4 linked regions of the Arabidopsis thaliana genome follow. The protein of the gene in region 1 interacts with the protein of each later gene in a pairwise test. Each region holds a gene or a part of one and is shown in the gene's direction. Other genes may lie near its edges.

Region 1 (10,097 bases):
GTTTGTAAGTTTCAAGAATTTCTGAAAAGTGAACAAACAGATTCTATCATTCTTGTTTTGATATTGTATTTTCAAATTTTGTAATGGCGGACTGCTTTTTTTTGGTCAAAAGATAAGCTTAGTCATCAACAAGTGGACATGGCTAGAAAGTGAAACAAGAGACGAGGTCATTCATACGCATTCATTAGACAGTAGCAGCAAGAAACTTTTGGAAAACAAATGTTTTAGGAACTGTAAGCACATGAGCAAACCACTCAACGTTTCCCCAAATTCCACTATTTTTGCGCCTTTCAAGCGTAATCACCGCACACCAAATCATCTTCTTACCGCCTCTGTCACCAGTCCCACTATAAGGCATATTCTGCTCCCACAAAACCGCCATCTTTCCACCATATTCAGCCAATCTAACACAAGCATGAAGAGAGAACCTAGGTAGTCCTACCAAACCCTCCAATTTCTCCGCCGTCTTAGCTCAGTGTCATACCATCTTTTGGAGCACTACACATTCATTGAGTACATATGCGCACTACAAGAAAACATCATGAATTCCTATTTACAAGGAACGGTTTGATAATGAACCTTATTTATGAACAACCAAAACATCATGAAACACTCTTGATAATTATGAGTTGTTTGTAGGGTTTTATAAATTTCTGAAAAAGTGAACAGATTCTATAATCAACCAGTGGCATTAAATGATTAGAAGTGAAACAATAGAAAGAGTTATACATCATGGTTGCATGCATATACACCACACACATTCATCAAATGGTAGCAACAAGAACATTTTCGAAAACATATGTTAGAGGGACTGTAAGCACATGATCAAACCACTCAACTTTTCCCCAAATTTCACGTTTTTTGCGCCTTTCAAGCGTAATCACTGCACACCAGAGCATCTTATTAGACCCACTATAAGTCATATTCTCCTTCCACAAAACCGCCATCTTTCCACCAAAATTAGCTAATCTAGGACAAGCAAGAATAATAGGTAGTTGTTCTACCAAACCCTCCAACTTTCTCCACCGTCCTAGCTCAGTGTCATACCATCTGAAAACAGTGCCACGCCATGTTTTTTCGACAGAGTACAAAACGTTCTCTATCTCACAATAATCATATGAAGACTTATAACTACACATCTCTGATTCAACAAGGTCCCATATACCTTTCTTGGGATTGTAAGAAACCACCTTTCTCTTAGCCCCTACATACCACTTTTCGTCAATACATAAGCTTTTGGAGTAAATGTTGTGTTTTGTTTCGTTGTAAGGGATAGGTACATGATCCCAAACTTGTGTTTTTGTGTCGAACACCTCGAAAGTGTTCTTCAAGTTAAGAGAATCTCCATCTTTGCAACTTCCGGCTACATATATCTTTCCGTCAAGGACGCCAGCAGAAACTTCAACTAGCTCCACTGGCAAGCTTGGAGCCTCGCGCCACGTGTGAGACCGGCAATCAAAAATCGAGACACTAGAGTAAGGTGATATGGATCTGCCAATGTTGTAGATATTAGAACCAACCGCCACGAGACTGGAACGTTGCACAAGACGAGGATGTGGAATTGATACTGTAGCCAAAACATACCCACTTGACTTCTTCTTATTACTTGTTTCAGAAGATAGGGCTTGATCAGGTTTCAAGCAGAGAGTAAACCAGCTAGGGCTCTCAAAAGGATTTAAGTATAAGCATACATATAGACAACCCTCGGTGCGGTTCAAGAGTGACCGTTCCTTGTAAAGCTCCGGTGAAGCTAGGAGAGATCGAAAGCTCTTGGAGACAAAGGAGAGAATCGGATAATACAATCTTGAGACTCGTGCGATGCAGCTTATTATCAAAGCATCGGGAAGTGACGGATTTGAGTTCGATTCCGGCGCTGGCGAAAACTTTTCCGGGGACGACATTGGATGAGTTTAAGAGACGAAAATGGCTGTTGAACTTGGAGAAAACAAATTTAGGGTTGGACTTTATATATAGAGGGATTAAAACCGGTTAATGCCTTTGGTTAAGGGGAGAACCGGTTATTTGTTTTGTATGTTTTGTTTGGTTAAGCATTGAGTAGTGAGTTGTTGATAGCTTCATTTATGAACAACCAAAAAGGCTCTATTTGTATGCTAATAATGATCACTCGAAATCTCTAGGTATGAAACGATCCTTATAGTTGTGAGATGTGAGTTAGTTTTAAGAATTTATGTATGTATTCTATATTTCTTATTATGATATTGTATATTCAGTTTTTGTAATGTCGGATTTCTTTTATGGTAAAGAATTATGCTTATCAATCAATAAGTGACATAAATTAATTAGAAGTGAAACAAGGGACAAAATCATAGTTTCAAGGCTCGTAACGCATTCATCAAAGAGTAGCAGCAAGAACCTTGACGAATTCATATTGTCTAGGGACTGTAAGCACATGAGCAAACCATTCAACTTTTCCCCATATTTCCAAACTTCCGCGTCTTTCAAGCGCAATCTCCGCACACCAAATCATCTTCTTTCGGCGCCCAGGCAAATAGTCGTCCCACAAAACTGCCATCTTCCCACCATAATCAACCATTCTAAGACAAGCATCAATAGGGAACTTAGGTAATCCTACCATACCCTTCAAGTCTCTCCACTCTCTTTCCTCACTGTGATACCACCATACGGACGTTGAGATATCTCCTTTTACAATAGTGTACCAAACATTCCCTATATTGCGATAACAATCATATAAATACTTATTATGTTCTATGCTTGGTGTAACCAGGTCCCATCTACCTTCCTTGGAATTGTAAGCATCCACACCTTTGTAGCTCACCAGGTGCAATTTTCCGTCAAACCTTACGATTTTGTAGTGAAAGTCGTGTTTTGTCTCGCTGCAAGGGACAGACAAAGGATCCCAAGTTTGTGTATTTGTGTCAAACACTTGGAACGTCATGGAGTCGCCATCTTTGCATCTTCCTGATACATATATCTTTTCATCAAGAACGCAAGCAGTACATGACATTAGCTTCACCCGCAACCTAGGGCCCTCGTGCCACGTGTTAGACGTGCAATACAGAATCTAGACGCTAGAGGAAGGCAATTCATATCCGCCAATGTTGTAGATACTAGAACAAACCGACACAATGCTCGAAGAAGATGACTCAAGAGGAGTATGTGGAAATGGGACTGTAGCCAAAACATACCCACTTGACTTTAGGGTTCCAGTATGTTTACGGAAAAGAGTAAACCACCTCGGTTTCTCATCTTAAGGATTTAACTTTAAGCACACATAGAGACAACTCTCCGTGCGGTCCAAGAGTGATCGGGTCTTGTAAAGCTCCGGTGAAGCTATGAGAGATCGAAAGCTCTTGGAGACGAGGGAGAGAGCCGGATAATACAATCTTGAGACCCGTGCGACGCAGCTCAATATCAAATCATCGGGAAGTGACGGATTAGGGTTCGTTTGCGACTGCATCGTGTACCGCTTCTTCTCCAACTTTGCAGAGAACTTCAAGGATCGGTCTTTATAAAGAAATTTCCAAAACCGGCTCACGTCTTTGCTTAAGGAAAAACCGGTTCAACTTTCCATAGTCAATAGAATCCGAACCGCCAATTGATTTTGATTGTTGACCGGGTTTAGTAGACCGAATTTAGAATAGGTGAACCGTGGCCAGAATTTTGGCGGCCGATACACTTCTTTACCTCAGCCTCACATTACTACTCTCACAAAAGATACACAGAGAGAGAAGAGAAGAGGAAGAAAATGGGATCTATAACGGTAGCTCCGGGAACCACCGTCTTATTCTCCAGTCGGCGGCTAGATCTTTGCGGTCGTCGCCATGAGAATCTATCCGTCGTTTCGTCCTCACAACCGTCTCTGATGCCAAAGCAGAGATGGCTTTATATTCCCGAGACGAGGTTGAAAAGAGAGGTTTTAAAGCTCGATGTCGTCGGAAGAGCTGCTGATTCCACGAGCTCTTCTCCATCAGTAGCTTCCGGTGATAGAACCTTAATTCCTGATGATGAATTCACTTTAGCCAAGGTTTTAAATCCCTAATTAAAGAGTTTCTTCAAATTCATTGTGTTTATATAATTAACTATTCCTGAATCAGTCATTGCCTTGTCCAATTTTGTGAACTGTGTGAGATTTATGGTAAAAGTATAGTGTCTCTCCAAGTAGGTAGATTCGATTATTAGTGGTCTGAAATTGAGAATTAGGAAGGATTTGATGTATGCAACTCATAGTTTATAGGTGGTATTGAATGTGCGTTGGAATAATTTTGGACACTGAAATTTTTTCCATATGTTTTGCATTGCAGATTTCATTTGGTGTTATTGGGCTAGGTCTCGGGGTTTCGCTACTCTCGTGAGTTTTCTCTTGCCTTCTTTGTTGCTATGGGTATATGTGAGGTTTAGCATTATGGATCTGTTTAACAGGTATGGTTTTGGGGCCTATTTTACTATCCTTCCTGGAACTGAGTGGTCTGCTATAATGCTAACATATGGATTTCCCCTTTCTATTATCGGAATGGCTCTTAAGGTATGCTCTTTATGCTCTTTAGTTATCTTTCTCACTATCATGTCCTTGAGAAAGTGGAATGTTTCGGATAACTGTAAAATTACTGAGAAAATTGACTTTTGTATTAGAGTTACTCATTTCTTTCTTTGAGTTTTCGGAATGGTTAATTGTTTTAGTCCCTGAGGATGGGTTTTGCTTCCTTTGCAGTACGCAGAACTCAAACCAGTTCCTTGCTTGAGCTATTCGGATGCGGTGAAGCTTAGAGAAAGCTGTGCTACTCCTATTTTAACGCAGGTACGTAGTGGTTCTGGTTACTCTCGACTGACCGGAGTACCTTCAATCTGATTTTAGTTGTTCTTCAGCTCGTCTTTGTTACATTAATTTCCTAAAACATATTTATGTTTCTGATAAGAGGAAGGGGTGTTAGTAGTTTTCGTCATTAGTATTTCGAAATTCAATCTAAACACTAGCTTGATTTCAGTATCATAGGTTCTTTTGCAGAAAGTCTTGCTCAGTTTAGTTTCCCTATATGACATCACATCGTAGTTTTGTCAGTGCACATAGGATTTTAAATTTACTTCTCGTGAATTGTTAATGTGCCTTCTTCTTTCTTTTATTAGGTTAGAAATGATGTCACGAGATACCGTTATGGAGATGAACAACATTTGGAAGAAGCACTAAAACGAATCTTTCAATATGGGCTGGTAAGCTATTTTGTTGAAACAAAATGAAGCACGAAAACAAAATGAAGCACAACACACGCTTCTTGTACTTCCGCTTTAACCTCTCTTTCTTTCGACTGTTTTGGTCATAAGGGAGGAGGAATCCCGAGACGTAGTGCACCTATCTTACAGCTGATAAGGGAAGAGGTACATTTCTTCACGCGCATGACTTTACATCATATTATTTACATGAATCATCAAAATATATAACTCAATTTTTACTTGCATATGACATGGATATTGACTGGTGAAACTAAACTTAAACGGATCATTTTTGATAACTCATCATGTCTGTAGGTCCTGACCGATGGTCGGTACTGTGTGGTCCTTGTATTTGAGGCCAAAGCTCTGACGTTGTCAGATTTTGAAAAAAGACAGGTAAGAGTTAGATTCATATACTACTAACAAATCAGCTTGGCGCATAAGAAAATAGCTTAAGTAGCGTTGGTTTTATCAAATCTAGTTTTTAAGAAGTAGCAAAACATAAAGCTGGAACTAAGCATAAAAATTTTGTTTTGATAGGCGAAATTCACTTCCTTCTTTGGACCAAACATCACGGCAGAAGTCGGTAAGTAGTGAATCAATTCTCCATTCATGTTTATGAATTTCTTGTTCTCGGTTCTTAAAAAATTATTATTGTTGTTTTGCTTTGAAGGTAAAGGAGAAAGTGAGAATCTCTATGAAGTAAGACTGATTTCCAACCTCTCCACCAACTCTGTATCTTCTACCTCTTGAACATAGACAATCATGTATACGGCGACGTTTTCAGTCAATGTTATTTTGGTCTTGTAAATCAATTCTATATAATTATCCTATGTATAAAAAGTTCATACTATTTACAGAAATGGGAATTGGAACTAGCCTTGTCGAATGGTAATACGGTCGGAAGGGGACAAGCTACGATTGCAACGTGTTCTAGAGTAATTTTGATTTGAGTAAACAAAATACATATACTGTATATTATTCATATCTTGGTGAACAATACAAAATATATTAGTTTGTTTTAAATTACCAAACTAAAGCCTTAAAAAAAGTATCAAATTAAGCACATAAGTTAGAAAAGAAAAATGTGTTGTAAGAAAGAAAAAAGGTTAGGAAAGAAATATGCGACAGAAAAAAGAGTTTTATGGGCTTACAAATAAGAAAAGCCCAAATGGGCCTTGAGTTTGAGCTTTACATAAAATTCATTCTACTAAACTTAAGCAAAATCATTCCTTCTTCTTTCTCTGAAACTTTTGCCTTGCTTGCTTGCCCAGAAAGTCGCCGAGAAAGTTAAAAGTAGAACGGCGGAGGAAAAAAAAACGAAGAGGAAGAGGAGAGATGGAGTCGCAGAAGAAGATAGCTCATGAGATCGGAGGTATGAAGAACGATGCTCTTCGCTTTGGTCTTCACGGCGTTAAGAGCGATATCCTTAGATCTCATCCTCTCGAAACGGCTTACGAATCTGTAATCAATCACTTCACAATCTTTTTTTTTTTTTTTATTGATATTGAGGAATTAGAAAATTAGGCTAATTAAGGAACTTAGGGTGTTGATGAATAAGCTTCGTGTTGATTCAGAAATTTGAGAATTGGGATTTTTTGACGGGGTTTCTGAAATTAGTTTTTTTTTTTCCTTTCTATAAACTTGTTTATTGTGATTTCAGGGGAAGCAATCACAAGAAGAAATGAAGAGGAGAGTGATCACGCATACTTATGGAGCTGCTCTTCCTTTGAAGATGGATCTTGATAGACAAATCCTTTCTCGGTATGGATCTTTAAATCTGTAGCATATGAAATTCTGAATTACACTGATTATTAGGTATGAGAATGTATGAGAATCTTCCTTAGGCTTTATAGAATACTGTTAAGATTGAAATATGGTTTCCTAATGCTAGTAATCTATCTTGATTAGGTCAATTGCTGTTCTGAATTTTGAAATATTGTTAGTACAAATGTGTATATGAATCATCATAATGATTATATCGAAAATTCGGAATCATAATCGTGTAGTGCTACTTAGAATTAGATTTGCAGAACCATAAACGCGTAGTGGATACTCTTAAATTAGTAGCAATATGTAGATTGAATTCAGAACCATAAACGCATAGAGCAGCCTCTTCTTCATTGAATATTTATTGGTGAATTGAATATTTATTGTATATCTTTTTATGTGGAGTATTCAGGTTTCAGAGACCTCCTGGACCAATTCCTTCATCAATGCTTGGCCTTGAAGTCTACACAGGAGCTCTAGATAATTTTGGTTTTGAGGATTACTTGAATGGTAATTGTTTTACACCAGTTTTCCCATTTGGTTGTGCATTAGAGTTTTCTATTCCTACAATCTTTGAGCATTTCTCAAAACATGACCGTCACATACTGCTTGCATTGTGTAACCAAATCATCCTCATCCTTGCATAGAGTTTAACTCTTTGTTTAGCATATAATAGAAAAGTGTCTCAACTTGTTTATTTCGTTTCGCTTACTAGTCTCTACTTTGTAGATTGTTCCACTCCAAAACACCAATAGACAGTGACAAACCTTTGTTCCAGTTAGACTGTCACAAATCATCGAGCATTGCTCAAAAATTGACTGTCACATACTACTTACTTACATTGTGTAACCAAAGTTGAACTTTTGGTTCAGTATATAAGAGAAAAATGTTTAAACTTTTTAATTCTCTTAGTTTCACAATTTATATTGTTCTGACGATGAATGGTGTATAATCTACAGATCCTCGCGAATCCGAGACGCTGAAACCAGTAGACTTTCACCACGGGATGGAAGTTCGGCTTGGTCTCTCCAAAGGCCCAGCTTCCCCAAGTTTCATGTAGTCACCACCATCAAAGTATTTCCTTCGTCAGGTCTCATATGCTTTTTAATCTGAGTAAGATCATGTTATGAATTTCCACCAGCCCTAAAAGAATCTACTTGTTGTTTGATCTCTTCTCTATACTGTGTCTCCTTTGCTCTGAACATGATAAAACATATGAACTGTGTTTCAGTTCTTATCTCTCTCAGTTCACAATTTGTTGGACTTGCTTAGTTATTTAAATAAGATTATGCTCCTATTTCATTATTATGTTACTGACACCAAAACCTTGGATACTAGATTCTATTAGAATAAATAAATTGCATATGGATTAATACTCTAAACAAAACAAAAACAAAAGAACAAAGTAAGATTGTTTTAGTGACTCGGACTGGACTGTTAACATCGGATAAATCTGAAAAAGTAAATAAATAAAAATAAAAACCCTATTCTACGTTTTATTCGTCTGGGAAAACAAAAATTAAATTCGATCCCCAAAATTAATAATTCCGTCTTCACCGAGAAAAAATCCAGAGCTTCTTCTCCTCCGACGCGATGGAGTCTCGTCGGAACCCTCGCGCCGTAGTAGATCCAAAGGTCCGACAAGTCGGTTTCTTCACATCATCTCAACCCGATTCATCAACTCAACAACAACAACCCGACCCGATCGCTGCTACCTCTGCTTCTTCTTCTTCTTCCACCATTTCTCCTTCCGGTAACTCACTCTCCCCCGTCATGATTCCTCCTCCTCGTCTCAATTCCTCTGATACTTTCCCTCTTCGAGTCGCTGTCGCTGGTGCTGCTGCGTCAGCCGTGTCTCCTTCTTCGTTTTCTTACTCAAGTCGCCGTGATTTCCCTGATGGATCAACGACGGCGTCTCCTGGACGCCATTCCAGGGGTAGTTTCGTAAAATCATCTGTTCCTGTTGCTTCTTCGCTGCCTGGTATTGGGATGGATTCTATGGCTGCTGCTAAATCTAGTAGTGTTCCTGCTAGTGGTTTAACCACTGTCTCCGTCGTTACCATGCCTCCTGGACTTTCTGGTACTCTCACTTTTGATCTTGTGGAATCATAATTTGATTGATTTTGAAATTTGTTCTTTAGGATATATGAGGCTAATGTATTCACAATGTTATATAATTGCAGAGAAGGCTAGTGGAATGGAGGTGCAGAGTGACCAGAAGAAGCCATTGAAAGAGAAAACCACTAAAGCTGAGAGACGAGCTATTCAAGAAGCTCAAAGAGCTGCTAAAGCTGCTGCAAAAGGTGCATTTTTGATTTAAACCAATGTGTGGTTTTATCGCAATGAATGATTCGTCAGCTTAGTACAGAGATTTGATATGCTGGTTGCTCTGTTGTGTTATCGTTGTGTATTTTGCAATATCTTAATCAGTCTGTGTAATACTGTGCTATATCAGCTGATGGTGGGAAGGTGGCACCAGTGTCCTCAGCCTCGGTGGCTTCAACAAGTGTTAAAGCTGCTAAACCAGCGAAGGCTACATCTCAGAAGAATGATGTTGCTGTTGCTACTGGAGCAGCTGAGAAGAAGGGAGGTCCATCTGAAAAAGATAGAAAGAAAGATGCTCCTCATCCCCGCATGCAGTATGATGATGAGAGTAGAGTCGTGAAGGCTAAAAGACGTGCTGTTGTAAAACAGACCGAGGCTAAAAACAGGGTTGAGCTATTTAGGCATTTGCCTCAGTATGAGCATGGCACTCAACTTCCTGATCTCGAGACTAAGTTCTTCCAACTTGACCCTATGCATCCTGCTGTGTACAAGGTATTTGTTTTCTCTTGAATTTATCTGGTTGGTGCTTCTAATAAACTATTAATAATCTCTTTGTTAAAACAAGGAACCGTTTGTTCTAATGAGTGGTTTATATTGCTTCATTAAGATGAATGTTACTTGTATACTGAATGAGTATCAGTTGTTGTGGTATCAGGTTGGTCTTCAATATCTTTCTGGGGATATCTCTGGTGGCAATGCCAGGTGTATTGCGATGCTCCAAGCATTCCAAGAGGTTGTCAAAGATTATTCAACACCGCCTGAGAAGTCTCTTAACAGGGACATGACTGCGAAAATAAGTAGCTACGTCTCCTTCC
Region 2 (7,323 bases), on another chromosome or scaffold:
AGTATTCATCTTCGATCGATAAAATCTACAAATCTCTGATTCTATCTTCTTTCTTCTTCTTCCGATCAAAATCAATTTCTAGGTTATATTCATTTCAACAGAAGCTGAGATCCTCTCTTTCGTCTAGAGGCTTTTCTCTTTGACCCATAAACTTTCTTGGTTGGGCTTTCTCATAACAGACCCGAATGAGCCCATTTAAGTCAATCAAGCTCCAAACGATCGAAAATAGCAGATCTAACAACATGCACGATATAGTATTGAATAGTACTCGAGTTTTATTCTCTTAAAAATCTATCTATGATTGAGTGTCGACATTTTAGTTCTATCTTTCTCTATCTCAATTATTACTGACACATATATAAGAGTACTGAATCAAATACGATGCAAGTAGGTTTTGAACTTTGATTGACGATTTTTTGGCACGACTTGTATGATCAATTATTTACTATCTTTAAGAAAAATCGTCAAAAACAATAAGAAGCAAAGCTGCAAAAGCAGAGTTTTCAACATGCGCAAGCGGAGCCCAACTGAAATCAAATTTCAAGTCTGTCTTCTTAACCACTCCGACATCTTTAGTTATTTACCATGCCTTCGTTGGTGAAGTTGAGGTAGAAGTAGTTACGTATATATAAAAAGCTAAACATTACATGGATACGTATAAGCAAAGACTTGAGGAATGATATAGTAACCAATTAACCATCAACAAAAGAATAACCAATAAATCAATGAGTAGATCGATCTTTATCATCGTGATATAAAATATATCATAATCATTAACTTCGAAATAATTAATATATATGATTGCCATTTTAACCATACATATATCACCACCACCTAGAAGACTCTTTAGAAGAGCATACCGACGAAAACAAACTCTATATACATACATATTTAATTAGAACTTCAAAAAGATGGAGGAACAATTATTTTAGTTTTAGAGATGCAGAGACGTGTCAACATCGTCGTATCGATCAATCCCACCCATCTTCTTGTCATCTTTATTTGGCCACTGATGACAAAAGCTTGGCTTTTCAATGGATTCAGAGGTGGAGTGTGAGCATAAGGAGAGGGATAGGAGCTGCTGTGACGAAGATGTTTGAGAGTTTATAGGTAGAAACTGAAAGAAACCGAAACTAGTGGGTTCGCTGTAATATTGCAAGATGTTGTCTTGGTGGTTAGGTTTAGGGTTTAGGAGCTCTCGTTCAGCTCTTAACTCTCTTGCTCTCTGAAGTTGTCTGAATCTTTCTTGAAGCAAGACGATTGAAGAATGGATCACCATTTGTTCCTTTCGGTCTCTTGCTATTGAACTCATGACGTAATGATATGAGTCTTAGAGAGAGTCTTGCTAGGGTTTGGGGCCATGTTACGTGTGTTGAGCCTATTTATATAAGGAGGAAAAAGGTGTATATTATTTCTTATTATTTAATCTGCATGAGAATACTTTAAAAACAATAAAAGTATATAGGGTTGTTGAGTAGTTCGATGAAATTCCGAAAGGAAGAGAATCAGGAGTAAAGTGGTAAGAGAACAAGAGGAAGAAGGCAAAAGTGACAATCTAAGGATTGTAAAAAGAGAATGTATAATGTGTGAGTGGAAATTTGCATATTTTTATTTTTATTTTTAAGAAGCAAAAGAAAAAAAGTTGGCCAAAGTAGAAAATGGTTGGGAGGAAAATGACAAGAAGAATGTTTGAAGGGAAGCACATGGATTGGTTTGTTTGGATGATTATTGAGATATATAAACCCTTTTTTCATGCCCCCCACTTACCTCCCTTTAAGGGCTCTTTTTATTTGAAATGGAAACTTTATTACATCCCGAGAATATAGGGTGTATATAAATATATATAAGGGATGGTCTTCTTAAACGTTTGATTTGATTGTATGCATAACAGAGTTGTAATTCAATGATAAATTTTCAATATGTTAAATACAAAAATCTTGCAAGGACATGCCTAACCATAATATATAAAAGAGTAATCTAATCAAAGATCATATTCGTATGTTGTTATATTCAAGAAAACTTGCATGAGGTTTTAAATATTCCTTGGAAAAAAAGTGAATATGAGAAAAGGGAGTGACAAAAGGGTTTAGGAGAGATTTTGGTGGCTTGGGAGATGGTGAATTGGAGCCACTTCTTTGTCTCTACGTCAAATCTTCTCAGTGGAATTTAAAGTTATATTATTGGCATTCAATTAAAAATGAAACACACATTAAAGAAGAGTGTCAAAAGTTGTTAATGGTTTCTATAAATTAGTTGATCCACTTTTAAGTTTTAACTTCTTATGATTTGGCAAGGAGGAAAAAGTATATAAAAAGTGGGCCTATCTATTGATAAAAAGACAAATGGAGTTCAATAGACTAGGGAATAATGATATCAACATATATGTATGAGATGTGTTTTGATTGATAAATAATTGTGAAAAAGACCACTCATTTTTACACAAGACATTCTCTCTCGATCTCCTCGTTTTCTCTCGATCAAAATGCTACTCTACGCTCCCTTCCCATAATGAAAACATCCATGCATGTACATTATCATATTTTTACTAATTTAGGGATCGAAAAGATTAATTTATAAAAAAGTAGAATACTATATACGTATCAATTAATATATGTGTTCAATGCAAAGCCGATGCAAACTTATATATTTCCTATCGTGATAATCTTATATAATAGATATTAGTTGTGTTTGATATATATAATAATTGCAGTACATATAATTCTTAACACCCATATAATGTAAAATTTTCTGATACAATTCTAAACCACATGTGTGCATTTTGAGTTTCACTTCATAGTCGGATTCTGCAAACTCCCCACATTAATTGGTCCACAAGGTACAAAACTTATCTCACATATATTCACCAATATATACAAATGTCAAATGCCTTTATAATGTATCACTCTTGATTGTTGATATTAGATAAGAATGTTGATATCATTACAAATGAAATGATATATTAGATTAAATTGGTAAATTTATTGTTACACCTCTAACAACGAAAAAAAGTGAGACAGTATAGCTACAAAACGGAGCGGGTTGAAAGAAAGAGGAAGTGGACAATGGGGATACAAAGTTTGAAAGGCACATCAAAAGTGGTGGGAGCAAAAGTTTGTCGTCAAGTAATTGGAATATAATGGCATGCATACACGAAAGCTGAAGATGCTACGACGTTTAGGATTTGGACTTACATTGTTTTTCTTCCTTTTTTCAGCTTCGGTATCTGCGATGTTATCGATAATGCTCTGATTTGGTGATAACCCCAATTAGATAGATGATTAACATAATTAAGTGGGATCGGATGAGACAAAACATATAGTGTCTTTAGATTAGTTGAGAAAGATTAGAGACAACGCGTGCCATTTCTGGTAAAACCATTACAACCACTCCACGTAAAAAGAATACATTATGTTTGTTAAATTTTCACATTTCTAATTTCTTACCCTCCATTTTGTAGTTTTACTACATCTCTACTATTTATATCTATTTTTATCCTATTCATTCTAAATTTGGATACTTTTACTGTTGACTGAAACTTGTAGCCTAGTTGTTGTTTCTTTTCACATGTACTCATGTATACCCAAGCTTAATGAAATTTTAAAGAAAATAAACAAGCGGTTTAGTTTTAATTTAATGGGCCGTTTCTTTATTTCAACGAAGCCCAATAGAGCCTGTTGAAAAAGGGTTTAGTTATTGTTGTTTACACATAAGGGCTTGAGTTTTATTTATTTCACGAAACGAGTAGAAACTTTTGTTTTATCAAAATCAGAACCCTCCTCTTTTACAGATTCAGGCCAATTCTAAATTCCCATCGTTCGTTCAATTTCAGACGTTAACCTCGGCTTGAAGGCTTCAAATTTCTGTGAATCCACGACGGAGATTGTAAGTTCCGATCATACTCACGACGATCTCATTCTATATGCACTAGAATCTTTTCCTCCTCCATTGATTAGATGATATGTTTATCCAGAACATGATGGATTCAATTAAGGCTTTTATTTTGTTGATCTGAATGGTACTGAGTTATGAATTGTTCGAGCAGATTGGTGAATTACGTTAGAATCAGTAATCAGCAAAAGGGTTAATGGAAGGAGAGAAGCTTATAGAAGATCGCGGCTTTTTGGCTGCTCCTCTGACCTTCGTCGTCGTCGTTGTCTTCCAATTGCTATCCAAGTGGCTTGACCAATTGAAGAAGGTAAAAAAGATAATACTTTTTGGCTTTTTTTCATATCCACATGAATCATCGTTTTGAATTATGGAATTTCTTCAGAAAGGGTCGAAGAACACGAGGGAATCAGAGCTGCGAACCGAAATTAAGCAGCTTTTGAGAGAGGCTAGTGCATTGTCTCAGTAAGCCATTTTGTTGTCACATTTTGTTTTGGTTCTAGTGATTTGAGTTAAGGAAGGTGCAGTTGTTGAAAAATATATATATGAGTGTTGTTGATTAGAGATTTATCTATTGTTTACTTGCAGGCCAGCCACATTTGCGCAAGCAGCGAAACTTAGGAGGTCAGCAGCTACTAAAGAGAAAGAACTTGCACAATGTGAGTATGCATACATTATTAGTTCTACATTGATTGCTTAGTGAGCGTAGAGTTCATGAAATTCAGAAATATGATTGATTGCTTAGTGAGTGTAGAGATCATGAAATTCAGAAATATGATTGATTGCTTTGTGAGTGTAGAGTTCATGAAATTCAGAAATATGATGCAACAGTTAGTTAGCTTTAAACATGAATACTATCTGGTAGCAGATATTCCTACTAAAGCACTGCATCATCATGGTGTAGTATTGGTGTGTGTGTGTATTTGTTAATTCTCATTTTGAAATTTTAGATCTGGAGCAGCATCACAAAGAAATCAAGCTTTCATACGATATGTATGGGAAGGGTCTGCTTGCTTCGAAGGTAGCTTAGTTTGTGTGCTCAAGCTTCTTCTTTTTTTCCGTCTAAAACTCCTTAATCGAGATGTGCTAAGAACTTTGTTTCTAGGTTGTGATATACCTAATCTTGGTATTGTGCTTCTGGAGGACTCCAATTGCCATTATCGCTAAGCAACTTGTTCAACCGTTTGGTGAGTAGTTTACTTTTACCAGGTTAAAGCTCGCTTATGGTATATAACACATAGGAAAAAAATGAATGTGGTGTGTTTCACAGGGACTTTGTTATCTTGGGGAACAGGAGGTCACATGACAGGCCATGTAATGGTAAGTTCCTTCTTCTCAATCCATTTATTTGGGCTTGTTCTTGATTGAGAGTGTTGGTTGGGTAAAAATGCAGGTCGGGATCATACCGTGGCTCATACTCTCAAACAGAGTGAGCAAATATGTGTGTAGGTTCGTGGAGTTCTAAATCGCATCCCTGAAAAGAGTGAAGATTGGATGGTTTTTGAGTTCAAAGTTGTAGCCTTTTAGGAGACACTTGTGGCAGAAATTGTGCTTCTCTTTTTGTTCCTAATCTTCCTTAACAATGTATATTTATATGACTCTTTTTCTCTGGTTGTTTGTTGGATTTTACCAATAACAAGTAGTTCGTTTTTGAGAGTTGAGCAGGTTGTTACCGTAGAAGCAGCCCCAATATTTACCCAATGTGTATATATACACCATAACAAACACATTGTCTCTATTCCTCTACGTGTTGTCAATTTTTATCTTGTAACACCGACTTTGTAAAATCAGATTCTAAAGACGCGTGTACTTATTCAACACGATGCCAATGCATGTGGTTCATTAAGATGTAGCATTATATCACCGAAAATGGAAGAGAGAAATAAAAATACTTACTATTATTAAAAGTGGGTAGCTTGGTGAAGGCACTAAAGTTTAATGGGAGAATCTTTTTAGCAATTAATTCGAGGGCATTATAATATCCACTTCCAACCACCACATTACTTAATTAAGGAAAACAATTTAAATCATAGTATCTTGTTTGGTTTGAAAGGAACGTGCACGTGTCACATCATCTACACTTGTCTTTCTAAATCAAAGAACTTGATTGGATTTGGTTAAGCCTATTAGTAAGAGTTAATAAGACAGAACCAAAGAAAAGGGTTTGGTTAGAGGGGCTAATTGGGAGATGGGAAGTGCAATAAATAAGAAGAAGGTTCATTAAATAGTTGTGTATGTGGGCATCCAAAGTCCCATCTTAATAATTTAATAATCTCCTCGGGATAGATAACAATCTTCTCTTCTTCTTCTTCTTCTTCTCTCCATTTTCCTAGAACATTAAAAGACAAATATGGAGCATTGTAATTTAATTAATCCTAAAGGTCATTGTGATATCTCACTTTCGTCTTTAAGGGAGGGGGGATGTTAGAAAAATGTTGTGTTTTGGGTTTGTGATCAGAACCCATGCACATTTCAATTCAATGCATCTCATAATAATATACGTAGTAACGTCTACAAGAACTTTTCTACCACTTGGCAGATTTAGGGACTATGTTTCTGTGTCTCTCTATCACCCCTAATTCAATAGCATATTAAAAGTTTACTCTAAAACAAGAAGTCACGACAAAATGAGATCATTGTGAAGATATAATTGGTTTACTATAAATTTCATGTAAGAAATAAGTATCCGTATTTGTAGGATATCTAAATTATGTGATCCGTTTTACACTTTTACTTAAGAGAAAGTTGAATTCCTAGAAAAGTTTCAAATATCCAATTTTCTCCTCTAAAAGACTAAAAACGAAAAAAACCATAAGTTTTTAAGAAACGAAAAAAAAAAAGTATTTTCATTATGAACTATTCAGTGAATTCATCTATTGTTTTTTCCTTCAAATAGTAAAAAGTGAAAAATGAAGACGGTGGTAATAATAGTAAAAATGATAACAATAACTAATAACACTTCACTTCATATGTTGGTCTTTTAGTAACTAGTTGAATCTAGAAACTAATTTGTCCAGCCTTAATTTACACAAAACTAGTAGCAAACTTATTCGTTAACACAGTTTCAATTTTGGTGATATTTTTCAATAAAAGCCTAAGGACCCAAGCGATGTGAAGTAAAAGCATGGAACTCTCTATTTAAAGCCTTAAGCCGAGTGTGGACACTATTTCTCTTTAGTCTCTCTACGGAACCTGTCTTCTTGTCTTGTCCAAAATCGGATTTTTAAGAGTACAAGTGAGTTTATTTTGGGGGCCGAAATCTGTCCTGGAGGATACAGAAGCAAGATGAAGTTAATAGATCGAAGAATGAGGTTAACGGAGCTGCTCTTACGGTGCTCCATCAGTGTCTTCGCTCTCCTCGCGCTTATTCTAGTTGTGACAGACACTGAGGTCAAGCTTATCTTCACTATCAAGAAGACGGCCAAGTACACGGACATG
Region 3 (8,266 bases), on another chromosome or scaffold:
GTTAGATCCAAGAACTGTTGGAGATGCTTTGACATAAGCTTTTTCATTGAGACCAAATGTAATCTTATGGACAGCAATTCCTGATAAAGGTTGGTCTTCATGAGATTTCACTTGGTGAATTGCTCCAAGAACTGATATAACAGTCACCAAGATTGCAACTAACGATTCTCTCATGTCTTCTAAGACTGAAACAATTCGAGCGGGCACAAGAAAGATGCAAAAAGACTAGCAATTGGATTAAAAGAAACAGAGTGAGGACATTATAACTAACTTGGTTTTGCTTTGAATCTTTCGGAGAAACTCAAAGATTGAAACTTTGAAGAAGATTAGATTAATAAGAAGAGTCTTTAATAATTAGAATATCCAGTCTTGAGATTCCCCCTCAATGATATAAAAAAGTCAAGACTTTGCTCGTCAACGGCCAATTTACATTGCACTGGAGTAGAAGAATTCACATCAAGTTTTGATTAGCGGAATTTTAAATTGCTTAAATTTAGTGAACTCGAGATTTTTTAATGTCTGAATGAGAAAAAGATTACTCAAGAATTTAACATAAACAAGATTAATACATTGGATCCATATGACATTCATGTAAAAATCCTTCTTCTAAGGCGTGCTATACATGATCTCTAATCCAAAGTGTCAATGCTTTTGGGATATCATATGGGCCATCCAATGAGAGAAGAATAATAAGTCCTTTGTTGTTGTTAGGCCGTTTTGCATGAAATCCGAGTAAAGAGAGATAAATCAAGTCACTAAAAGTATAACGCCTGCGGTTATTGAAATATATTTATTTATTTTAAGCATTCATCATATATGCATGCATATACAAAGGAGTTTTCTTTAAGATGCCAATTTGCAATAGCCTTGCTTTGAACATTTCATGTTGCAATCAGTATCTACTTGGCAACGAACATCATTATTCATCACTTTAACCAAATTACAAACACAGTCGCATTGGTTGCTGCAATAACCTCCCTCTGGGCAATGCGCTTTACAATCACTATCATTCTTACAACATGGAGGTGGTGGTCCACGATAACCACCACTACCACCACCTGGACAACCGGTGCATCTTGGTTCATTCGGCATACATGAGTTTTGGTTGACAGAAGTTTCACTGTTTTGAATGCTAATTCCATTTTCTGCATATATTAATAAGAGATAAGAAACAAAAAAAAACATATTAATCAATGAAAAACTATGTAAATAAAAAATACTAAAAGCACAAAATGAAACTTTAAATATTTTTTGTTTACTTACGGGTTACGGCAAAAAGTAGAGAAACCAATAACAACAATTTTAAGGAAGCGATCTTCATTTTCAAAGTCGATGTTTTTTTCCTTCACTGGAGAAGTTTTTGGTTGTTTGGTAAATCTTGCAATGGTGAAGTTGAAGGTATTCTTCATCGATTTTTTTATTTTTATAGTCCAGTTTAGGCGATGGTTAGATACTATTTTTTTTAATATTTACACGTGGAAATTGAAGTATAATTGTTATTGGATTCTTTTGACTAACAACAAAGTTCTCATAAACATGGAAATCTAATTAAAGTTTTAATTAATACTAGATATGTTTACCAAATAAGAGTTGCAAAATTGGAAATAAAGGATTTTTTTCGATTTAAATGTCTATCTATATATTTCTTATCAGATTTAGTGGACTATGCTTTATATTAGATGATGATTGACCCACGCAAATTTTCTAAAATCATTAGTCCAAATGCTTATGTCTAAATAAGTATTGGATCAAAGAAAAATCAAAGATGATTTTATGCTTAAAAAAAAAACATAATTTAGTGACCAAAATACTATTGAATAGGAACAAAATCGAGATCTATCATTACATGTTGCTACAGGCACGGTGCCCTCTTTATAACTTTAAAACATTTTGAAAACAACAAAAGATTACACAGATTCAGAAACGAAATTAATTTGATCCATTATTTAAAACCTCTAAAACCTTGATCCATTTTAAGTAATAGACATCGACCCACTTAACCACTGAACCGTCTTATTGAGTAATTTAACCGGAAAATTTTACTGAACCAGAACCTTCCAATTGAAGAAGAGGCTTTAGTGAATCATCTTCGTCATCGATCATCAGATTCTTCAGATTCGCAAGTAAAAACTAAGAATCGACCAATCGTTTATTACACGAATACTTACTTATAAAGACAATATTAAATAAACCAGATATTTTTATTCCAATTAACCGTCCAAAATAAAAATAGATAGCCGTTTTATTTTAATTTCTCCCTATCCTACAAAGTGAAAGTCGCCAGTATCTCTTTGTACTCCCTCGCTATCTCGAAAGAGTCGTGGATGACTGCGTCGCTGCTTCTCCTGTACTCGAACTGAATGGTAGAGTGATCGACGACAATTAAGGTGACGAACCCAAAGTCCTTGTCGCCGAGCAGGCTCCAGCTGGACTGCATGCAAGAGAAATCATCTAGACTGGCTCCTCCACCTCCCGCAACAACATGAATAGTCCCGTTTAATGGCTCCTGCAAGGATGGTTGGATGGCGTGATCCCGAATACATACATACAGTTTTTCTCAAATAGTTGTGGCCAAAATCCAAATATGTACCATGTGTTTTCTCTGTTATGAACCTAGGTGATATTTGAGCACTAGCTACGATAATATTAGAACTAATTTGATAAGAAAATGGAATGTTTTTTTCTTAAATTTTTCTTAAGTTTTGCTTAAGTTTTGCTCAAGTTTTTCTTAAGTTAGAAAGAACTTTTGGGTTCGTCATTTCTTTTCTGAGAGGGAATTAAAAAGTCAAATTTGTTCTTGCTTTTTAGCTGCTGTTCAAATTCAGAATCTTGTCTTCTTCTCTCTCAATTTGTTCCATAGATCTAATCAGTTGAAATAATGAATCTGAATACTATATATATATATATATATATTCTAATATAATACAATGATGTTTGCATATACTTTTAAAAGACCCTGACAAGAAGAGAAACTAGTAACACATCAAACTTTAAAGAATTTGTAAAGAAATTTAAGACTCATTGCAGAGAAGAGAAGCACAAAACCTCGTAGTAAACCTTGATGAGGAAAAGACCTTGATAGGCGTAGAACACAGTAGAGGTGGATCGACATATTTAACTCTTGTAAGACAAATCGAAGCACTGTAGAAACAAAGAAAAAGGTGCAATGTAAAGCTTTTATCATATAAAATAACACAAAGCTTTACATCAAATCCGAGAACTGTTGGAGAAGCTTTGACATAAGCTTCTTCATTCACATCAAACAGTGTCCTATGAATTGCAACTCCTGACAAAGGTTGCTTTCGATGAGATTTTCCCTCTTGAATTGACACAAGAGTCACCAAAACATCAACAAGTTTCCCATTTCTCACAAGAAGATCATGAAAACAAATGTCTGAAGATGAAGATGAATGTGATACAACTGTGTTCTAGAGATAACTTGTAGGAAACAACATTTATAAAGTTGGTGACTGATGATCAAAACCTAGAAACATAGGCACAAAGCATATAAAGATATGGTGATCATTAGCATTAACATTCCTTTCACACACTTCCGTGACTTGTTGGTTTAAGTGTTTCTAAATCTAGAAATCCAATTGGGAGCCAAAAGAAGACTATGATGTGGACATGTGACCTGCGTTTGCCAAAAACGTACCTTTTACTAACCCAAAGTCCAATCACATTTGGGTCATTGGACTATTCAATTGCAATTGAAACCCAACACAAAGTCCAAAACACTCATAAAGTCTAAACATTTGAATAAGTGATTCTTTTCACTCGTAAGAAGCCAAAATTCGCCATGAGAGAAGAACAAGTCTCTGATTGCGGATCGATTACTCTTGAAGAATGGAATGGTTCTTCTTCCACTAAGCTATTCAAAACAGCAACCATCACTGCCTCCTCTTCTCTCTCTATCCAAAGGTTCTTCTTTATTCCTCTTTGAAATCAATCCAAATCTGATAGTTTCAGTGGATTCACAACAAAATTGAGAAACTTTCTTGGGTTTTCGTCTCCTGTGAGTGATTCATAGGTCTGCTAATCGCTTTAATCATGTGTGGAGACGAGTTCTTCAAGCATTTGTACCAGAGGCAAGTGTTTTCTCTCTTTTTCCCTTTAGAATCTGTCCTCCGGATTAGGGTTTGGCTGAATTGTACTTTGTCTAGTGCAGGGCTTTCCTGGCAGTGTAACTCCAGATTATGTAGGGTTTCAGTTATGGGACACATTACAGGTATGTGAGAATATGCTTGTATGCCTTATAGCTACTGTGAAATTTGAATTGTGACTCTCGGCTATGTTTGTTGCAGGGCCTCTCAACTTATACAAAGATGATGCTTTCCACTCAGGTGAGCTAAAGCTAAAGTTTTTGAGCTTCTGAGTTCTCTATTTTGGTCCAATTTGTCTGCTGCAGCATTTCTGATTTGGACTATTTTCAGGCTCTTTTGAGTGCAATTGGCGTTGGTGAGAAATCCGCAACTGTTATAGGTGCTACATTTCAGGTGAGTTTTTCCATTGCTTACATATAACATTTCACACTAGTTCTCTCAAGAACTATAAAGCGCAATGGAGAATAGTGATTCTATCTTGTGTATTATGCAGTGGTTTCTGAGGGATTTTACTGGGATGCTTGGAGGTATATTGTTCACATTTTATCAGGTGCCTATGTAGCAGATTCTTCCCAATCATAATACACATCGATTCTCTTCCCTTTTCTTTAAGATTTAGATTGGTTACGTTCTTATTTAATGGGAACTGTTCTGTTCTTCAGGGTTCCAACCTGGATAGCAATGCAAAAATGTGGCGCCTAGTTGCTGACCTTATGAATGATATTGGTATGTAAAAGTTAGTTGTCACATCACACTTGATACTAATTGCCTGTATTTGGTTCTCAGTTGAATGACTACAAGCTTTGTTGCTTTTATTGCAGGAATGCTAATGGACCTTCTTTCTCCTTTGTTTCCATCTGCCTTTATCGTTGTGGTTTGCTTAGGGAGCCTATCAAGATCATTTAGTGCGTATCATTTCTTGCATCAAACATTGAAGTTAAGACTTCGGTTTGGATTGATACATCGGTTTTTAACTTTTTTCAATCTTGGCTATTAGCTGGTGTTGCAAGTGGAGCAACCAGAGCAGCTCTAACACAGCACTTTGCTCTTCAAGACAATGCAGCGGATATATCTGCTAAGGTACTCTTTACTTCTTGTCACTGTGAATGATATAGAAACTATAAATGTGAACTTTGAGTAATTCTTTGCTTCTATTTTATCTATTGAAAGGAAGGAAGCCAAGAGACTATGGCAACTATGATGGGTATGTCATTGGGAATGTTGCTAGCTCGGTTTACCTCTGGAAACCCTATGGCTATTTGGCTTTCGTTTCTCTCTCTCACCGTGTTTCATATGTATGGTAAGTCACAAATGAAGGTTAAAGCATAGATCAAATCAGAATTTCTCTCACTGTTTGCCTTTCTTATATATTTAGCAAACTATAGAGCTGTCCGGTGTCTTGTATTGAATTCATTAAACTTTGAGAGGAGTTCAATTCTTCTAACACATTTCATTCAAACTGGCCAAGGTAATTTCGAAATGCGCCATTGATTCTTTCAAGTTTTCAGTGGCTTTCCTTTGTTTTTTATTGGTTTCTCTTTATTATTGCACCATATACCAATAACTTTCTTTAACTAAACGTGTTGCCAGTTCTCTCTCCCGAACAGGTTTCTTCAATGGAGGGTGTATTGCCCTTGTGGGCCACTTCATTGAGGTCAACGAATTCAAAGCCATTGCATAAGAGAGTGCAGTTAGGTGTGAGAGTTTCCTCTCTCCCTCGTCTAGATATGTAAGCTCTATACTAGATTATCATAATTTTCGGGTAAAGAATCGGCTCAAGCTTGACATATTTGTGTGCAGGTTGCAGCTGCTAAATGGTGTTGGAGCTTCTTCATACAAGAATGGTTTGATTGATTTATTTTTCCACAATCTTTCAAGGACATTAGTTTCTCTGTCCATACTTGACGTAAGCTCGGTTCTTGTCTGTTGTTGTACACTCCTGCAGCTAAGTATTTATTGGCTCACATAAAGGGAAATGTTAGTGTGATCTTGCACAAAGATTCAAAACCTGCAGATGTGTTGAAATCATATATTCATGCCATTGTTTTGGCAAACCTTATGGAAAAGAGCACATCTTTTTATTCAGAAGGAGAAGCTTGGATTGATAAACACTATGACGAATTGCTCCACAAGGTAAGATTAAATCACTAGGACCAGTTAAACCGTGTTTTTATGACACTAAAGCTACTGTTTTCACTCTTTTTCTTTCTGTTGTTTCCCATGTAGCTGAGATCAGGAGGTTGGAAAACAGAGCGTCTTCTTTCGCCTTCCATTACTTGGAGAGCTAATTGGATATCTCACACTTCCGCTGCTAAGTTCGACTGAGCTTTATCGCCTTTCAAGATCAAAATAGTTTGTTAACTCGTTGCAAACATACAAAAATATGTTAGTTCTAAGTCATGTAAAACATGTAACCGATACCGGTTTAACCGTAAAATGTCGGTTTAACATTGTATAACGTTTGTTATTAATGGAAAATTAAAGAATTATAATAATGGCAACCGTTTTATTTTTTTGGAAACGCAAAAATTGGAATCGGAACCGCTTCGAACGTATAAATACTTCAATTTTGTGATTCTCTTTCATTATCACTTCATGTTCATCGTTTAGCTCGTAGCTGAAGCTAATTCCACAACTCCGGCCAATAATTCCGCCGGCGAATGGAATCCACGGTGAGTATTTCGTTTATAGTCAGACACTTGTACCCTAGTTTTTGGAATTCGATTAATTTATTGTTTGTTAATGCTATTAGGTCATGCCTGGGTTTGATAGAATTAGCGAATTGCCGGAATCTTTGATTAGTCAAATACTGTTACACCTTCCGACTAAAGCTTCTGTGAAGACGAGTGTTTTATCGACTAGATGGAAGAATCTATGGCTTAATGTTCCCGGACTTGATTTGAACTGCCGTGATTTCCCCTTTCAGAACAACAACGAAAAACTGTTGATTGATTTCATTGACAGATTTCTCCAGTTTAACAATGAGTCACGTCTTCAAAAATTCAAGGTAGATTACAGTAGAGATAAGATCATTAAGTTCTCGGATCGGATTGGTGACGCGATTAGCCGCGGGATTCGAGTTTTAGATGTTGAGAGCAATACCTATTATCGAGATGCTGATGATTGCATTGACTATCCTTGTATCGAGTTCATGCCTCTGAATCTTTATTCGTGTAAGACATTGGTTTCTTTGAAGCTTTCGTATTCGGGTCTTGAGGATCCAGGGTTTGTCTATTTGCCTTGTCTCAAATTCATGCATCTTCGAGAAGTTCGATGGGATAGTAGTGGTACTATGAATCTGGAGAAGCTTGTTTCAGGTTGTCCTGTTCTTGAAGAACTGATTTATCTTCATGATGATAAATTGGTGGTTACGCGTGTGAGATCTCGAAGCTTGAAGAGGTTTTCTATTCCGTTTAGGCATAAACTTTCTTTGTTTAGGAGAGTGACACAGACATTTGAGATTGATGCTCCTGGACTAGAGTATATGAGTCTTAAAGCAGACCATTTCGATAGAATCGTGGTAAAGAACCTTACTTCTTTATTCATGATTGACCTTGATATCAAATTCATTGTCGGGTTTGGCTGGATGTTTGATCCGGAGGACTTACCAAAGAGAAATGAAATCCGTGATTTTCTCACCGGGATATCTAGTGTAAGACATATGGTCATCTCTCATAATACAGTGAAGGTATATATTTTTGTACAACAAATTTTGGTCTTTTTCTACTTGGGAAACTCTCACTAGCATCCATTTTTTCCTTTCCTTCTTGTTGCAGGCCCTTGATCTTTACTCAAAAGTAGGACTGATTCCCAAATTCAATAACTTATCCCGTGTAGAGGCTGCGTTCCCGAGCTCCTTGTTACAGTTTTTGCCAGCCTTTCTTGAGAGCTTCCCGAATCTGAAACACTTAATCTTGGTAAAAAAACTTAAATGATTTTGGCGTAACAACATTGTGGCTCTTGTGGATGTTTATAATTGAATACCTAGCTTTACTTTTGTTGGTGTTTTCAGGAAACTGAATGTCCAGTGGAGGTGATGGAGAAGTTTGAACTCGTAAATGTGCCTCGGTGTTTCGTATCGACTCTTGAACATGTTGAGATAAAAGGATTGTTTGACTGGGGGGAACAGGATATGAAAATAGCGAGTTACTTTCTCGAAAACT
Region 4 (6,368 bases), on another chromosome or scaffold:
TCGTTTTTTTTTTCCTGCTGGAATGCATAGTATTTGCGTATTTGATGATCTTTAAGATAAGCACACTCTAAAAAACAAACTCTAGTCCTCTCAGAATAGATATGAACCGAATGTATAATCCAATCACTTCGTTGGTATATAAAGATACTTAGGAGCACATTGCTTATGGGACGAGGCAGCAAAGGAATTTGTCTAGTGAGGGACAAGTATCTAAAAAAAGGTATACAACGACACATCGTTTAGTTTAGCTTAGTAAGCAAATCTTCAGATTTATTTATTCACGATTTTATGCTACATATCTATAAATCTGACACGTACGCATTAAAGACAAACATCTTATGCTACTATATATGATTAATCATAGACATGTGCTATAATTAACCCTTGTGTTCTAAATATGTGTCTCTTTATAAAAAAAAAATATATATATATATATACTTGTATATATCACATATGTGAAATTGTCTATAATAAGATTTATTTTTTTTTGGTAAAATTTTAAGTAATAAGTTTATATTTGCGATTTTTTCTTACCGCTTTTAACTATTCCAGTATTGTTTATCACTTTTTTATACATCCTTCAAAAATATTATATCGTTTGTGTCACCGATCGTATATATGTCATGATAATAGTTTTTCTTGTTCATTATGTGATGCATAAAATTCACGTCACACAATTTGACAGGATATGATGAAACAGTTTTAGTGAAAACAATCACAAACATTGATATGAAAAAACTACGTCCAAATAATAACAAGAACGCAGCCAACTTGCCTATTCAAGAAACTATAGTGCTCTATAAATAATACATTTTGAAATTATTAAAGAACCCAATATATATATTCCTCGATGATTGATCTAGCTTTTGAAGTTTCCTTTAGTTCTAACTAATGAGGATATAAAGAAGGAGCACTATCAAGTTTGAATTACAAAGGACTCAAATTAGGAACCAAGCCGCACTTCCCGTCCAAGAACGTCACAACAAAATTAAGCTTGACACTCTTAAACAATTATTGCATCTCTATTTTTACTTTATTCTCATTTTGATTCGTCAAATATAGCAATGACAGATTCAAAAAATCAGTCCATTTCTACAGCTAAAATACTTTCAAGATAATTAGAATCATGTAAGTATAACCACAAGCATGGATAAAACAGAACCAAAGTTAAACCAATTCATCAAAATGACTAAACAAACTGGCCCCTTTTCATTTAAACCGGAACAATTCTTGTTATTCATTTAAGAATTAACTGGTAGTTTTTGTAAAAAAATGCAATTTATTAGATGAATAATGTCATTCGTTTTAATAGAATGTTCATTGCAATGCTGTCATAAATGAAATAAATATGCCCATTCATTTTTTCTGCGTTTGGAAAGTGGAAGAATTTTTCAAGAGGATCGGTCATTCATGCATGTAATGATGCAACGGAATAAGAATAACCAAACATTCGATCGAAAGTACTTAAATACCTAAATGTGCTTGTCTTAAAATATATCTAAGATATAGGATTCAAGATATCTGAATATCATATATAAAAAATGAACATACAGATACAGTGAATATTTGAATTTATGAAATATGGGATTGCTCGATTGGAAAAGTACCATAGTCCATTAGTCCGAGTAAAGGTTTTAAAAGCTTATCCGAATCTAAAGAAATGTACGAATTTTGGCTTAGAATCTCTTAATTACAACAAAAAAAAGTTATTAGGTATTAAATTTTTCACCTGATATTGGTGATTTGCTATATACATCTGATTTAGATAGAAAACAAAAGTTATACTTTGAGATAAATCCAAAACCCTATATTCTGGGGCTCTATAAATGTTATTAATTACCGTCTCTTTGTAGCGCTTACTCCACACAAAATTGTAATATTTAAAAGATTTAAAAACACCAAAAAGAGATAAGTTAGTGTGAATTGTGGAAGTAACAGCTAGAATTCCAACGTGAAGGACGATAGTGAATGAAACACCCAAAACCAATTAAACTTAGTCATGATGAGAGGGATGCATGAAACTAATCGGCGATGGTTAAAGGTCAGCCTCATCTCATGTCTGTGTCTTATCTCATATATGATAATCACCCACAATATCTGTATATGGTCCTCGTCAGATTTCACTCATTTTGTATCCTCGAGAAATTATGCAGTACTACTAGTTACTTATTGGCAGATTTTTTATTGCTCCATTTCCATAGTATATATAATATCATTTAATTTGTAAGATATATTAGTGTTTTTGACAAAAAAAAAAAAAAAAAAAAAAAAAAAAAAAAAGAAGAAGAAGATATATTAGTGTTGTCTATCAACATTTATCTGTCGGATTCACCAGGTATTAGGAAAGAAGCCCGACTATTTGTTTCGAAATTTTATTGTATGTCACATGAATACGTTTCAACGTGATGCATATGTTATTAATGTATACATAGATACATACATCATGTTGATATCCTTTCAAGAATATCTAGATCATAAATTCATAATAGATATGTTCATAGCTAGAATTAGAAGAATACTTTACTAGAAAATGAAATGAAAATGATTAGCTATCTGATAAAATGATTAAAAAAAAAAAGTCTACTGAAGGAGGATGATAAAGTTTAAGTGTTGAGATTTTATTCAAGTTATGTAGTATACAAAAAAGGGGATAGTTTTAGACTTTTAGTAGTACGAATAGCTAATCTTCTAAATTAATTGCTATCTATTACACTACACTATCAATAACTAAAAATGAATAAATCTAGTGCAGTTTATTCAATAAAAATGTCACGAATTTTACATAAGTTGTAAACATCCATCTATTAAAACATAATCACACAACATCTATTTTGTTGGAATACCATAAACTTTTACTTGACGGCTACATAAACATGATACATGATTAACATAGGCCTTTTAAAAAAGCAAATATATATGACTAGAAGAAGAAAGCAAAAGAAATGGTAGAAGACAGAAATCAAAAGCGTGCAAGAATTATATATACTATGATATGGGCTCCAACTAGAGATCACTTGTTGACAAAGAAGAAGAAAAAAAGAGAGAGAGATCACTTTGGAAATAACAATGGCGAACAAAAGGACAAATATATGCCACGTCATCCCTCTCCATCCACCTTTATGTCATTTCTCAAAAAAACAAATTTTTTTTATCCGATTCATTATCAAAAAATAAAATTAAAAAAAAACAATTATTTTAAATTATTTGGTTAGTGTTTCATTATAATTTTTCTTATAAATAGGGTCTTTAAACCTTCCAAGAAGTCATATAGAAAACGGCTTCATAAAAAGAAGATAGAACTTGGATAAGTTTAGAAGATAGAAATGGAATGGAGAGAATGTTATTTAGATGTGATATTGGTGCCGCTAGGGCTAATGGTGTATGCATCTTACCATGTTTACTTGTGGCATAAGTTACGAACACAGCCTCTCACCACTATCATCGGCACTAACGCTAGAGCTCGCCGATTCTGGGTCGCTTCCATCATCAAGGTAACTTCAATTTTCTTATATAAACATCTTCACACACATAAATATATGATTTTAATTTTATGTATTTGATTAAATTAGGACAACGACAAGAAGAACATCTTGGCCGTTCAAACGCTTAGAAACTGCATAATGGGGTCGACTTTGATGGCAACAACATCGATCCTCCTCTGCGCTGGTCTAGCTGCGGTTTTAAGCAGCACATATGCAGTGAAGAAGCCTCTAAACGACGCTGTTTTTGGAGCTCGCGGAGAGTTCATGGTGGCTCTCAAGTACGTCACGATACTCACCATATTCCTCTTCTCCTTCTTCTCTCACTCTCTCTCAATTCGTTTCATCAACCAAGTTAACATCCTCATCAACACTCCTTTTCCTCCTGAGGAGTTGGAGGACGAGATGATGATGACCGCGGAGGAGTACGTGGCGGAGTTGCTAGAGAGAGGGTTTATTTTGAATACTGTGGGGAATCGGTTGTTCTACGCGGCTTTGCCGTTGATGCTTTGGATATTTGGACCGGTGCTTGTGTTTTTGTGCTCGGTCGTGATGGTTCCTCTACTTTACAACCTCGATTTCTTCTTCTTCGGTAAAGAAAGAAGAAAACTTGATCAAAAGTCTAGTTTTGGATCTGTGTAAAATCGAGTTCTGGTCAGTAGAACAAGTGATTTGTAATTAAGTGATATCATCGTCCTCTTTGTTAAATCCTGGACTACCGATGAACGCATGAGGACTTTACATGGAAGTTGAAAAGTTCGAAGATCATAGTTTAGGTTTCAATTCTAGATCTTCCGATTAAGAAAAAAAAATGTAATTAAATAACGCATTATAATTTTCATATATTAGGGTTTTTCGGCCGTATGTATTTGGTGTGGTGTAATATATGTCACGTTTTGGTTTATTGAGCGTTATTATTGGCATTTCCATGTGGGTGACTTTATAACGTATCAGCATATCTCACAGCTCTCTTGGTATGTACGTTTCTCTTTTTTCTTTTTCTTTTTCTGTTAGTGTTTATATGCATGTGGCTTACGTTGGGCAAGAAACGGGACAAAAAATGTGATGTTCACATCTATTCCGTGCATTAGTATCTGTCTTATTAAGTTTTGTTGTTATGTTATGTGTTAGGAACCAGTCGTCACGAGGCTATTTAAATCCTCCCTAAGACAATGTAGAAATATACCTACACGGTTATTTTTCTGTGTAGTATGAAATCAAACTGTTTAGAACTCGTTTAGAGATGACAATTCAGATTATGATGTTAGCTAATTATATCCGAATCTAGTTCTGAAGCCCATGTTCGCCTAGATTAAAATTGTATCATTGTATGTTAACTAACTCTATTTTTCATATATATATTTTCAATTTTGGTTTAGATTAGGTAAACAAAAAGCTATTTCATGCTACAAACAAATACAATTTTAGTGATGAAAATTTTCGTAGTTAAAACTTTAGTTTCGTACGTAGCTAAATAGCTAAACGACAGTTGCTAAATAACTTACTCGTGACTATCCGTTGATACACAAATTTCATGGATAATAGCTACTGACCATTTAACAACGAGATAGCCAGAGATATATCATAGAGATAGCCAATTAAACTGTTGGCAAAAGTACCATGGGCTGTCCTTAAGTGGGCCTAAATCTAATAAAATTATAAACTGTGGCCTGTTAGGCATGTGATATTTTTCTCTTTTTCTTCAAGCCTTTTTATAAAAATAAATGTCAAGAGATGATGAAGGCATTTGCACTTTTGAAGAATTGAAGTAGGAGCTCAAAGCGAAGGATTACGATGATAGACATCTCTGTAATGATTTAACAAAACTCAAATACAACATCAAGTTTGGAAGATCACTGGACTGTTTTGTGTTTGATCATTTACTCACCTGTAATTCTTTTTTACTAATATATAACTTATAAGAAATCATAAACTATAATCTTTTTTTTTTTTGGGTTTAATGAGACTTTTTTCTGTCCTTTTTTTGAACACCTGTGAATCATAGACTATAATCGAACTTCATCCCCTTTTTTTTTTTTTTGGGAAACTTAGAGAAGAACAAAACATTTGTGAGGCTGATGATTTGATGAGACCGCAACGTTGGAGAACTTTGGAGTATATTAATAATATACATTTTCAATATTATCAGTATATGCATTTTCAACTAGGCCTTGCTTTATACACCGGAGATTATAATTAATGAAAAGATGAATTACGTTAATGTCATTGCTTCTGGTTTGAGTTGGCAAACTCCACGTACCACGTACATATAATTATTATTGAGTAGTTGCTAATTAATTATACTTTTGTCTTGTTAAAACTAGTATTATAAATTGGTTAATGCCATAAAGCAAACGATAGACCAGACACATCTCTGATAATCCAGCGGTACTTATTTGTCATGATTCTGTGATCCAATCAATTAATCGTATAGATTTAGCTATCGCGAATCGTGATTCCAACCTTTACATAAATTCTTTTTAAATTAGGGCAAATTGTGTTGGATCAAGCATAGTAATAACATAATACGTACTTATAAAATTGTTAACGTGCCGGTGTTGTTTGGAGAGAAAAACAAAGATTCTTAGCTCTCAGGCAATTAAAAAAACGAGTATCGAAAAATTCAGAATAGAAGTTGCTTAGTTAACGAGAAATTAAATGGTGCATCGAATATCTAATGGTTTAATCTGGATATAGTAAAATTAGTACTCCACGATTAGTTAGCAGGCAAGTAGATGAATGTCATTAATTTGATGATCTGATTGAATTGCTTTCGAAAAAGGACAATAATAATAATATCGACTGGTTAATTGGTTGTCATATTTTACCCAAAAAGGATCAACCATTGGATTTACGCCACGTCATTAATGTGAAAATACAAAAGTGGAT

The links.
Region 2: the proteins of APE1 (region 1) and AT4G16444 interact in a protein complementation assay, tested with the Arabidopsis thaliana proteins (one large-scale study listed by BioGRID).
Region 3: the proteins of APE1 (region 1) and RUS3 interact in a protein complementation assay, tested with the Arabidopsis thaliana proteins (one large-scale study listed by BioGRID).
Region 4: the proteins of APE1 (region 1) and AT4G31330 interact in a protein complementation assay, tested with the Arabidopsis thaliana proteins (one large-scale study listed by BioGRID).

Annotation. Positions count from the first base shown.
Region 1 is NC_003076.8:15,469,128-15,479,224, reverse strand, and holds APE1 (acclimation of photosynthesis to environment), read left to right. Parts: upstream 1-3,639; 5' UTR 3,640-3,727; coding exon 3,728-4,006; intron 4,007-4,283; coding exon 4,284-4,330; intron 4,331-4,401; coding exon 4,402-4,504; intron 4,505-4,690; coding exon 4,691-4,777; intron 4,778-5,103; coding exon 5,104-5,187; intron 5,188-5,298; coding exon 5,299-5,352; intron 5,353-5,502; coding exon 5,503-5,583; intron 5,584-5,727; coding exon 5,728-5,769; coding exon of another isoform or gene 5,770-5,773; intron 5,774-5,860; coding exon 5,861-5,889; coding exon of another isoform or gene 5,890-5,940; exon of another isoform or gene 5,941-6,116; intron 6,117-6,409; exon of another isoform or gene 6,410-6,461; coding exon 6,462-6,651; intron 6,652-6,850; coding exon 6,851-6,951; intron 6,952-7,369; coding exon 7,370-7,467; intron 7,468-7,916; coding exon 7,917-8,017; 3' UTR 8,018-8,325; downstream 8,326-10,097. Other genes in the region: AT5G38680 (Galactose oxidase/kelch repeat superfamily protein), read right to left, coding at 185-361, 1,005-1,901; AT5G38670 (Galactose oxidase/kelch repeat superfamily protein), read right to left, coding at 2,354-3,043, 3,254-3,439; AT5G38650 (Proteasome maturation factor UMP1), read left to right, coding at 6,526-6,651, 6,851-6,951, 7,370-7,467, 7,917-8,017; AT5G38640 (NagB/RpiA/CoA transferase-like superfamily protein), read left to right, coding at 8,551-9,037, 9,141-9,260, 9,413-9,774, 9,938-10,097.
Region 2 is NC_003075.7:9,272,818-9,280,140, reverse strand, and holds AT4G16444 (tail-anchored protein insertion receptor WRB-like protein), read left to right. Parts: upstream 1-3,693; 5' UTR 3,694-3,882; intron 3,883-4,042; 5' UTR 4,043-4,084; coding exon 4,085-4,195; intron 4,196-4,270; coding exon 4,271-4,350; intron 4,351-4,473; coding exon 4,474-4,544; intron 4,545-4,835; coding exon 4,836-4,906; intron 4,907-4,990; coding exon 4,991-5,072; intron 5,073-5,155; coding exon 5,156-5,205; intron 5,206-5,278; coding exon 5,279-5,350; 3' UTR 5,351-5,703; downstream 5,704-7,323. Other genes in the region: AT4G16450 (NADH-ubiquinone oxidoreductase), read right to left, coding at 1-9; AT4G16447 (uncharacterized protein), read right to left, coding at 935-1,312; AT4G16442 (Uncharacterized protein family (UPF0497)), read left to right, coding at 7,171-7,323.
Region 3 is NC_003070.9:4,717,918-4,726,183, forward strand, and holds RUS3 (root UVB sensitive protein (Protein of unknown function, DUF647)), read left to right. Parts: upstream 1-3,656; 5' UTR 3,657-3,799; coding exon 3,800-3,921; exon of another isoform or gene 3,922-4,030; coding exon 4,031-4,088; intron 4,089-4,168; coding exon 4,169-4,228; intron 4,229-4,304; coding exon 4,305-4,343; intron 4,344-4,433; coding exon 4,434-4,496; intron 4,497-4,596; coding exon 4,597-4,653; intron 4,654-4,765; coding exon 4,766-4,829; intron 4,830-4,924; coding exon 4,925-5,008; intron 5,009-5,100; coding exon 5,101-5,183; intron 5,184-5,273; coding exon 5,274-5,403; intron 5,404-5,478; coding exon 5,479-5,571; intron 5,572-5,693; coding exon 5,694-5,832; intron 5,833-5,903; coding exon 5,904-5,947; coding exon of another isoform or gene 5,948-6,048; coding exon 6,049-6,236; intron 6,237-6,329; coding exon 6,330-6,428; 3' UTR 6,429-6,598; downstream 6,599-8,266. Other genes in the region: AT1G13750 (Purple acid phosphatases superfamily protein), read right to left, coding at 1-174; AT1G13755 (Defensin-like (DEFL) family protein), read right to left, coding at 844-1,145, 1,264-1,321; AT1G13760 (uncharacterized protein), read right to left, coding at 2,448-2,506, 3,046-3,184; AT1G13780 (F-box/RNI-like/FBD-like domains-containing protein), read left to right, coding at 6,764-6,775, 6,856-7,791, 7,880-8,020, 8,116-8,266.
Region 4 is NC_003075.7:15,199,031-15,205,398, forward strand, and holds AT4G31330 (transmembrane protein, putative (Protein of unknown function, DUF599)), read left to right. Parts: upstream 1-3,257; 5' UTR 3,258-3,323; coding exon 3,324-3,491; intron 3,492-3,569; coding exon 3,570-4,121; 3' UTR 4,122-4,532; downstream 4,533-6,368.